Linked DNA regions of Daphnia pulex. The protein of the gene in region 1 interacts with the protein of each later gene in a biochemical or structural test. Links are inferred from orthologs where the notes say so. Each region holds a gene or a part of one and is shown on either strand. Other genes may lie near its edges.

Evidence for each region. The genes of interacting proteins can lie anywhere in the genome.
Region 2: the proteins of unconventional myosin-XVIIIa-like (region 1) and Golgi phosphoprotein 3 homolog sauron-like form a complex in vitro, tested with the Homo sapiens proteins (2 studies listed by IntAct). The link is inferred for Daphnia pulex from reciprocal best matches to the Homo sapiens genes MYO18A and GOLPH3.

The regions. Positions count from the first base shown.
Region 1 is NC_060020.1:237,175-242,594, reverse strand, and holds the start of unconventional myosin-XVIIIa-like, read left to right. Parts: upstream 1-1,749; 5' UTR 1,750-1,886; intron 1,887-2,590; 5' UTR 2,591-2,601; coding exon 2,602-3,818; intron 3,819-3,977; coding exon 3,978-4,161; intron 4,162-5,273; coding exon 5,274-5,408; intron 5,409-5,420.
Region 2 is NC_060019.1:8,788,294-8,793,778, forward strand, and holds Golgi phosphoprotein 3 homolog sauron-like, read right to left. Parts: upstream 3,281-5,485; 5' UTR 2,608-3,280; intron 2,383-2,607; 5' UTR 2,369-2,382; coding exon 2,165-2,368; intron 2,095-2,164; coding exon 1,848-2,094; intron 1,783-1,847; coding exon 1,607-1,782; intron 1,534-1,606; coding exon 1,285-1,533; 3' UTR 404-1,284; downstream 1-403. UniProt on the Homo sapiens protein: Phosphatidylinositol-4-phosphate-binding protein that links Golgi membranes to the cytoskeleton and may participate in the tensile force required for vesicle budding from the Golgi.

The DNA of each region.
Region 1 (5,420 bases):
CTTGCAAAAAATGAAACGCGCAATTTCTTTCTTGCAGTAGGCAGTCTATCTATTGGCACTGCGCTCTATTGAATTGCAATGGGAGACGAATAGAGACATCAGCAGGAACCTATTGCATTGCTGTTCCGCAATGCCCTCGGCAATGCCTGGTGTATAGAAATGTAATTGCAGTAGTACAATAGACTTGCAGCAAATCAGCAAATAGGATTGATAATGCTGAGTTTGGTTGAGTTATGCACAGAAATGAGTCGTAAAAAGAAATAGAGTATATTATACGAAACTGGATTTATATTGGGAACCATATGTGTTCCCATTTTCTTTCGATTGAACATTTGTCACACACATAGAACTTGGCAGACTGTTTTTGCTCGTATTATTTCTTTTTTTCTTCAAAGTTATCTGTTTTTCATCTCCATGTCGTTAACCCGGCCTTTTACGTCAGCAGATAGTCACGCTCATGCCAGATACCACAGAGAAAAGCGACTTGAAAGGGGATGCATTTTCGTTGGTCGTGTGCCGCACGGAAATTCGCTCATCTCCGACGAAAAGGCCTTTAAATTGAACCTCTCAGAGGGTGGAAAAGACAAACAACACCTGATCGCCAAGTATAAGCTCAACAACTATTTATCTATCTCTTCTTCTTCAATATGCTGTACAAGTCAATGGTATAAATCCCTAAAAATATTCTTTTCTTGTGCTGTAAATATCCCTGCTGGCTTATTGCAATTATAATTCTGTCTAATGGAATTTAAAATATTATTGCGCAGACCCTTTTGGTTTTGGTGGCTTTGGCCGCTTGCGTCTTCGCCATGGATGCTGAAGTCCAGGATCAGGAGGCTGCTGAGCAATCCTACCGCAATCCTACCGGGCCGCCTATGACACCTATTCATGGTGTCTACGGCCCACCGTCGTACCAATACGGCGTCAATGCCGGTGGAGACATAAATAGAAACAGGTTTCCCGGTTGGCTCTACGGTTGAGAGTGGCAACACAAGTTCCCCAATTCTTTTTGCATTCAATGTCAACATTTAAAAAACTGTTTCGCTGTTGACTGCAAATGGAAAATACACACACGTATATGGCAAGTCACTGTACAAGCACTACTACACTTTACAACATTTACAAAATTAAAGCCCCTATAACATTCCCCGTCTTCCTTATATTAAACCATCACCATTTGCGTCTCTACTGGTTTTTGTGACTTGTAGACCTTTCACCATCTGAAAATTGCCACCCAACGCGCGTACATTTTGCATAAAATATTTTCCAATTTGATGTCATTTTACAACTGCCCAAAATATGGAACACTGTAATTCGAAATGACAGAAACAAAACAAAAAAACTATTTGATTACTTACAACTTTTTTTAAAATATTTCTAACTCGATTATATTACAAAAATACATCTGATATGTTTGAACACGGCGTTTTTCAAAACCGGAATAAATGGGCGTATTTACACTCGACTAAAGCAAAATAAATGTTGAAAAAAAAAACCTGTTGAGACCGTCCCGGATTCGATACGCTGAGTCATTTGAATTTCAAGTTTTGTCTCTCTCTCAGTCTAAAACAACGAGCCGTTTTGTCTCTCGAGAATCTCGACCAATCAATTGCCAAAGAAAAACAACGATGCATGTCATTTGATATTGATTGTTGGCTGGTGTTGTTTGAAAGCCCGCCCGCGAAATCAGCCGAACCAGTTCGCCACCTAGCGGTCGAAATAGAAATCTCTCGCCGCATTCCTGGTGACCAGACTGGGGCGCCTGTCATTTACGTCGACTCGGCCGAGACCTCTGCAGACGTCAAGCATTTGCTGGCGCCTTAAACTCATCAAACGCTTTCAAGTGAAATAGTTTGATTCCTTTCCACTGTTCGATGAGCTTTCAGGTGAGTCGTGCATTTGTTTACAGTCGGCCCTGACCATCTCTGACGGCGTTTCTCGGTGGATTTGCTTGGCATTCGACAAGGAAGAGCAAGGGCCCCCGCAACAAGCCGTCGACCCTGTGTGGTGCTAGTTGGAACGGGTTCTCTCTTACCTAAATTCCATCTAAAATGTTGACTCATTAGCGTCCCGAATAGGTGTAGCCACGATTCCCCCTGGGCCTCGCTTCTCTGGCTCTGCTGTGATTGCCAAGTGCAAGCCCTGGCCATTTCTCATTCGCAAACTCCTGTGAAGATGTCAAAACAACAAGCAGAAGGCCTCTCACTCTCCCTCCGAAGGCTTGGTCAATTCTCCCATGACCCGTTGCCAATGCAGTGAAGGAATGGGGGTAGAGAGAGAGACGTCTGTGAAATGTGCACATCAAGTTTCGATAATTGAAAGCCCACATGCAATGGCCAAGTTTTGAGGGTTTGTGAGACGTGAAAAGAGTTCCATGAACCTGCCAACCTCCCCCGTAATCAGTTTGAGGTTTCCTTAGCTCCTTCCTGCCTATTCTGGCTGCTCATGTTTCTTGTGGTTTCCCGATAAATGCCAACATCCTACACTGGCATGTGTGTCTGTGTGTGTGTGTGTGCATTGTGTTGACCATCGATGTAATGTTTCTTTCTTTTATTCTCTCTTTTTTTTCCATTGTTGTTTGCATGTGCAGGACTGGCCGCCATGTTCAGCTTTATGAAGAAGGACAAGGCGGACAAGAGGGAGAAAAAGGAGAGAAAAGAAACGAAAAAGCCTCCGACAAAAGATGCTGCTGCTGCCTCCCTTTTCCACCAGCAGTCGTCATCTGGCAGCGGAAGTGGCGGGGTGGTGTACGGAGCATCTGCCGCCGCCGGATCCTCATCGGCCAACGTCGACAAGCTGACGGCCGACGAGCTGCTGCGATTGGACGAAGTCAGGCGGAGTCTCAAGATCCGCACACGCCGCAAAGAGAAGGAAAAACTGCCCAGCGGCATCACGGCCGACTACACGGCCCATTTGGGTCTCCACTTGGTGGACGGCGGCCACGCCTCATCCGGACCCTGGCCGGAACTGCCACACAGTCCCATCAGCGACGGGGGCAGTTGCACCAGCGACGGGACGCCCAGTTTGAATTCCCTGACGTCGACGACAACGACGACGGCCATGATGATGATGAAACAGGAGACGTTGTCGGTTTCCTCCCCCATGCCCGTGCCGCCGGCCCGCGGGATCCTCAAGGGCAAGTCCTCGTACGGCCTGGAGTCTCCGCCGCTGCTGGAACTGGACGACGACAACAAATTGGTGGAGAACACGTTGAAAAACGAGTTGATTATTTACGAGAAGCCACCGGCTGTGTTGGGGGTCAAGAAATCGCTCTCGAGTCCGTCGGCTGCTGCCCAGCTGCTTCTGCTGCCTCCCCCTCTGCCCAAGTCACAGCCTCCGTCGTCGTCTGCCAACGGGCAGCTGGGCTTTCAGCGGGCGAGGGCAGCAGCAGGAGGAGGAATGCAAACAGAAGAAGAAGACGCGTTTACTTATAGCAGCCCACGACCACATTTGGCACCGCTGGATGCGGCCACAGCTGCTGCCATCGCCGCCGCTGCCGGTCTCGTTCCGGCCGACAATTCCAGGCCGCCATCTGCCGCCACTGCCAAACCCACGACGACGACGACGGTGGTGGCAGCGGTCAAGGTTTTATGGAGCGAACCTCCTGGTGAAGGCTCTGGCTGGCTGGATCGCATCAAAACCCACAAGAGTCTCCATTCTTCCTCATCCTCTTCATCTTCTCTGCCTCTTCCTGCTCTCGTTGAGCCGGCCCTGCCCGAACCCAGAGATCTGACGCTGCAGCGCAAAGAGACGGGCGATTTTGGTTTCTCGCTCCGGCGGAGCGTCGTGGTCGAGCGGTCGCCCAACGATCCGTCCAGGTATTAAAAATAATATCTTCTCGTTATGATTGCTGTGGGGGCGTTAATGACGGGCTCGACCCCGTTTCCCCCATTGATTTCATCCTCCTCCTCCCCCGCCTGCCCGTCTGATATAATCATTTAAAGAAATGTCCGTTTTTGTTTGTTTGTTAATTTCAGGAATTCGGTCAAGAGGACGGTGATTTTCGCCGAGCCGGTGACTGGCAACACGAACAAGCAATTGGATGCGGCTCTTTTGCCCGGCGACCGGCTCCTGGAAGTCAACGGTCAAAACGTTCAGAACACGAACCGCGAGGACATCATCGACATCATTCGGAATTCAGGATCCACCGTCACGCTCAAGGTTGTCCGGCCTTTATTTTTCTAAATGTTTTATTATTTTCATTGATTTACGGCTCCTTATCTCTTTTTTTATTTTTATATTTTTTCTTTCATTACGTTTTACGATTATGACTTGAATTTCAATTTAAACGATTGCGCCTTGGCCGTTCATTGGGGTAGATAAGGTTAGATGGCGCCAGGGATTAACTTTGATGGCGCATTCCCGGAGCTTACCTGGGCTAATAGACCAACCAGTTTTGTGTAGTTTTTTTGGTGGGGTGGGGGACGATCAAGTCCAACGAGAGAAAGGCCACAACGGAAAAGAAGAGAAAGAAAGAATTTATTTTTTTACAAGCGAGTAGTAATCTGGCCAGCAGCGTGCGTCACGTACTGCATAATCATTACGGGGCAGGATGCGACTGTACGCGTGATTTATGGCCGCGTGATTTATTTTCACGTTTTTGAATGCGTTCGCTCGCGCCAGCTCAAACGTCTCGAGCCTCTTGGCCTTGCGTGAAACATTCTGCCCGCCCGTCCTGCCCGTCTCTCCTTGGCAGTTGAGTAGAACCGAACCAAAAACACCTGTGGCGACGGCGGCGGCGTGCCGATTATCGCACGAAGCCTTTAATCCGCTGCCACGCCACGACCCGATTAATCTCAGCTTGCCCAATGTTTGACTAATCGCCAAAAGTCAAAACGCCTGTGAAAACGGGCCAGCCCGTTGCGAAACGGTTTCACGGGGCGACGGCAGCAGTTGCGAAACGACCAAAACGAGTCGCTCACGACGCCGACTGAAACAAACAAATAAACGACGACCGCCGAATTTAAAAAGCGAACGCGAACCAAAAAGAGAAGAAAAAAAAATGACCTATTCCTAAATCGGCTCGTGTGTGGCATTTGATTCAGTCACGATCCCGTCCAAACCAGTTTTTTGTTTTATTTCTTTTTTTATCTTGAATTTTTAAAATCAAAATTAAATGCCGGTGGAAGAAACTGGTCGTGTCGTCGTCGGACGTCTCAGATATAAAGTGGCGGCGCTGTTGTTGTTGTTGTTGTTGTTGTGTCTTTTTTATTGTCTTGATTTATATTCGATGATTTGAATTTTTTTGGGGGGGTTTTGTTTTAACGACACAGGTGCAGCCCGTGGCCGAATTGGTGGAGTTATCGCGCCGCTGGGCGGCCGACGGCCGTCAAATTCGCCTCAACGACGTCATCGCTAAAGGTGGCACGTTGCGCCGCACCGGATCCTTACGCCACCGCCATACAAAGGTAAACGACAAT
Region 2 (5,485 bases), on another chromosome or scaffold:
GGTTGACTGCTCAAACCATTGGCGCTTTCATAAATACAAAGAAGAATCATCAATTGAGCATGTTGATATTTTCGTGCACTTTTTTCAACACATTTCAACCAACCCAACCGATTCAAGCAGACGACTCAACCACTGTTGCCGCTTCGTTATTTAACATCTCCGCACGTGATGTCAGTTTTTGTTCGGAAAATGTTTCATTTCCAAATTTTCAGAGTTGATTACTTGATTCATTGGGAATCACACCAAAGATTGTGATAAGATGGGAAGCAGCCCAAATTCACATTTTCTAACAACCACGCTTCCCTTGATCTAGCTTCCGGTTGCTAACCACTGTACGTAAAGATGGCAGCACTGAATTTTACCTGTAAAGAAGGAACAAAAGACAATAAAAATCTACCACATGTTGCATCCGAATTCCTGATTTTTTTATTCAAACTACCAATAGTGTGTACATGCAGTAATGAAATAAAACATGTTATACACGTTCTCCCACATAATATAGTACCTAATATATAGCATTAGCCGATTAAAGGGAGTTGTTAAACACACATATCCAAATGAATTTTTGAGGGTCGCAATCCGCAAATCATTTCACAGTTTGCAGGTTACATATTTTTCATTTCATTTATATTGTTGTATTTTTAAAGATGGCGCGCTGCGCTCCCGATGGAAGGTATATTTACAATACATACCACAACGGGATTTCCCCAGAATTGTAACAAAAACGTCTCTCTCCTCTGCCCACTTTCCTCCACGTTTCAACCCACGTTAAATCATGAGAGTTCGCTATATAATAATAATAGTGGTTTCGTTAAATGAATATTTTCCCTTTCACCATTTAAAGAAAACTTGAATTAAAGAGGAAACAAGTGCACTGTGAGCGTGATCGGTAATTTTGGAAATGATTTTTAGATAAATCGAGGCTTCCCAACGCACACTCAAAATGGAGAAAATTAATAACACTCGTAGGATATTCTAAATATTGTTAAAAAAAGAAGGAGGGGCTAGTAATAACTGAAAAATGGTTTGAAAGAAGGAATGAATTGGAAAATCTAGCCTGGCTGCAGCTATGTAGGTATACAAAGGTAGGGTTATTTTTTTCGATGGCCAGTAGCTTAAAAAACGGGAAAAATAATGGAGACGCGGAACAAAAAAAGAAAGAAACTAAATAAGGATCAAAAGAAAGGGGATAGGCAAAGAAAATAAGAAAAATAAATGATATGGGAAGGGATAGGAGTGTACGAAAGGGATAGCAATACAATATTAGTAACAATAATAACGTTATCATTTGGTAAAGGAAGCAAAAACAGCCCACATCAACTCATTGGTTCCAGGTTTTGCACTCTCGTTGTCCAAGTCAAGGTAGAGGAGTTCACGAACCCGTTTCATGGCCAGCTCGTAGTCGTCGTCGTTTAATGGGGCAAAGGCATTCTCTAACACGTCAGAGGCGTGAGCCAGGAAGATGAGTGACAGCATGCGTTTGTCCATTCGATGAGCGTCGTTTACCCACTTGGATAAGACTGCTTCTTGTACCTGTAGATGGTTTGGTCAAAGGAACAAAAGGTTTAATGATATGGCTGGCTTTGAGAATGTGAAGACGTCACACCTTTTTGACAAGACGAGTTTTCATGATATTGTCCGTGAGAGGATGAGTGGTCATATCAAACAAGAGAAAATTCTGTTTCTCTGTCGTTAATACTCCCTTCTCCACCAAATTTTTGGCCAGGCGTTCCCGGACGTTTTTCAGTTGATATCTTAGTTTCAAGGGATTCCATGTTTCTCCTGTAAAAATATTTGAAAATCAATGAAAAATTCTAAAGTTGGAGGATTAAACAAATGACACTCACCACTGAGGTATTCTATCCAATTCTGTACCGTCTCAGGGGGATCTGTTTCCTTGACATGCTTGAGTGCCTCATCTAGGAGAACATCTCCAGTAGGTGAGTCATTCTTGAGTAGAATTTTTCTCCCCAATAGGGATCGTTTCCTCATTCCTCCTTTCTCTAGTTCAACTCTACCACGTAGGCCTAACTCAATCAATATGCATCCACGAAGACCACTAGATATGCAATCATTCCAGAATGAAGTATAGCCCTGTAAAGTTAAAAAAATTAAATTTAGGGGGGAAATGGACCAAGTATGACACAATAAATATTATGTATACCTCTTTATCTTTGAGGCCCAATAATAACACTTCTTCCATCAAGGTGAGTCTTGTTTCTTTGGAATCCAAATCATCCATATCATCTGTATCATTACTTGTACGGCGGTCTTCAACATCAGCTGGACCTGACGATATCTCAACAGGTCCTCCGCCACCAGTCCCCACACGAGCAGTCCTCCTTTGAACAACCCCTTCACGATTCATTTTTCTATCAAAACCTGTAACCAGAAAGAACTGTGAGAAGTGAGAACAACCACTCCAGAAAGCACCAAACTATGAATGATTAAATGCCAAATGAATACACTTTGAGTTTGACATTTGGATGTAATGAAATAATAATGACTTGATCCTTTTTTTGGGGAAATTATTCTAGTCAAAAGAACTGAACTGTATCTATTTGAAGAGTAATGAGCTACTTTGTTAAGTAGAGGAGGTAATCTGACCTGTGCACTTGTGAAAGAATAATACTGGCTTTGTGGCAATACGCTCGACGTCTCATCAGTCGCAGACAACGAAAAACAAACTCAAGAACTCAAGAAGAAGGAAACTAAACTATGAAAAGGGCACTACAGTTGTAACTTCGTTCTGGCTGATGAGTTTGTTGACATTCGGAGGCTCGTCTATGCCTTCTTACACGTATAGAAGAACTTTTGTACACGTATAATCTTTGGCAAGCAGGTAGGGTTCTCTCTGTAAAAACGTCGATTTTTGCCTGGTCGTCAAGGCAACAAGCCTGCTGCTTGCAAGTTGCGACGTGGCGTAAAAAAATTCAAAAATGAAAAAAACCAGAAGGTATTTCCCACGGTACGCGATTCGTATTTGGTGAATTGTGTAAACGTAAGCACAGAAAAAAACGGGAAAATTATGACAGTTATGGTAGTGCAAAGGTTTAGGCGATTTTCTTTCGAAAGAATTGTTATCTTGTGTAAATATAACCCTCGTCAATCAGTCCGTCACTGGACATTCATACACATAAGCCCTTAAAAAAAAATTATCTTTCCCGTCCGGATCGTAACTATGACAACATTAATTTGTGTCAATGGGAAAATGTAGATAGAAATGTGTTGCAATATTTGACCCGATATTTGCGATGAAACATAAATGACGATTTTTATTTTATCAAAGGAAAAATAGTTGTTTTCCTTGCTAGTTTCAATTTCAATTGATAGGTGGCAGCTTTATACCTACCAATTAAAAAATTCCGATGGGGAAATCCGCCTCGAACTCGATTCAGATAAAGGTATAAGTCTAGATAAATCAGATAAAAAACTTATTTGGATGTAACAGGACCTTATACCAGGTTCAATCTAACAAAGTTTAAATTGGGGAATCAAAAATGAATCTGTAATGGACAACACGCTTGTCCATTTCATCCGACGTGTAGGAAGAAAATCGAAATTTTTTACCGACGAATGAAAAATTGATTTGTAATTATATTCCGCAATGAAAACTCGATTTCCAAGAATCAACATTTATTTCCATACATCGCAATAGTATATCAGTATGACAGGATCGTTTGACGCATTACATCAGCACCTATTTTTACCTGCGCTTAATAATTCACTCTATACATGTAAACATGTTGAAGCGGAAAAATCAGTCACGTTCTACATCTGGTAGCCCCGTTGCCTAGTCTACTAATATCAACCGAAAGATGTGTGTAAATATTTGGCCATTTTCTGATCCTTTTAAAAAATCCGTAGAAAGTCAGCAAATATTTTGCTTATCTTGTTACAAGTTGTGTAACACAATTTGGCTCAAGCAACGGTGAAACCAGCAACTAAATTGGTCATATCTCTGCAGTAGTAAGAGCGATAATGGGTCACTTTTCGTGGGCACCTAACTAGCCAGCCAACTTGCAGGCAGCTAATCCGATAATAATTACTGCCGAGGAGTTTGTGTGAAAACGCATCCGGATTTCGTCACGATCTTCTCAGCAGCAACGGCGTTGGCAGCCGAAAGATGGCAGCTGGTGTTCTCCGTGCCGGCTCAAAATCCAAAAAACAAGATTCCGACCGAAATGATGAAACCGCGGCTCGTGTGTCGGGGGGATGAATGCCGACCGAGAGAATCCCGGCATTTGTATGCTACGGGGCGAATCAAATAATTCATCTGACCTTAATTAGAAAACCAACGTTATCCAAAAACTGCAAAGAGCGGAAATAGCTCAGCATAGAACAGTTGATGAGAATATTGATCCGACTCGTCTGATGTTAGTAAACACGTGAAAAAGACATTGAAAATGTAATATTCGCCGGCCAACACACATCTCTTTTATGTTGGAAACATTTTTCGCTAAAAAAGAGAAAAAAAGAGCTAGCTAGCTAGCTATACATGTAAAAGAAGAAGATGAAGTCCTCTCCGGCGCAATTGTTGCCTGCGGAGTAGTCTTTTTGAAAAGAAAACGAGGGAACGAAGAAAACGGGCGGATAGGGACGTCTGGCCGCTTTATTGCCACATCACAACCTCATTAGCTCAAGAGCATATGGACTGGAGAGTTTTTTTTTCCTTTTCCTTTTTGTTTGTATATGTAGCTCGGCCGACGACGACGACGACGACAGGAGCAGCAGCCGCTATTGAACATTCGATTTAAGAAAAGAAACTAGTGAGACTCTTGCGAATGAACAATTGCGCCAACTTTCAAGCCGATGTGTGTCTCCTGCAGTCTATTACGTCTACGCACTTGTGCGCATTTCGAATAAGTAAAAGGACTGAGTCTTGTTTATCATAAAAACCTAACCCTCTTCTCTTCCATCTCAATGGTAATTGGACTCTTGTCGGGACCTTTTTTTCGGCCCGAGACAAACACCACCCAAAGGAAACTGATCATCATCAGCAGTTCCTTCCCGTAACTCTGCCGGTAGTACTACATAATGGGCTGAAAATAAAAGAGATCCAGCTGCTTTGAAGTTCGATTGCGTCAATAGAGTTTTACTTGTTTGTCGTCGTGTGCAGGAGCCACAGCCATGAACAATAATGGGTTTTATTCTATATAGGAAAAGAGAGAGAAAGTGCGTCATGAAGACTCGAGAGGATTGCTGCTGCACTTGCTCTGTCCTGCTATTTGCAGATGCTCATTGGCCAAAAACCCCAAAAGAAGATGAGAATCAAGAGAGAAATAGGAAGACGGATAAAATTATATTTGCGTGCATGCTACCCGGCTATCATCAGCTAACGTAGTGTACATTCTGCCCGTCTGAAAACTCGGTCGAGCTGGGAAAATTTCAGTCCCGATGGACGCTATGCTGACAAGATGCTTCCATGTTTACGATGATGCTTTAGACTACTCGGTCCTCGTTGAGGATGTTATGTAATAACAGC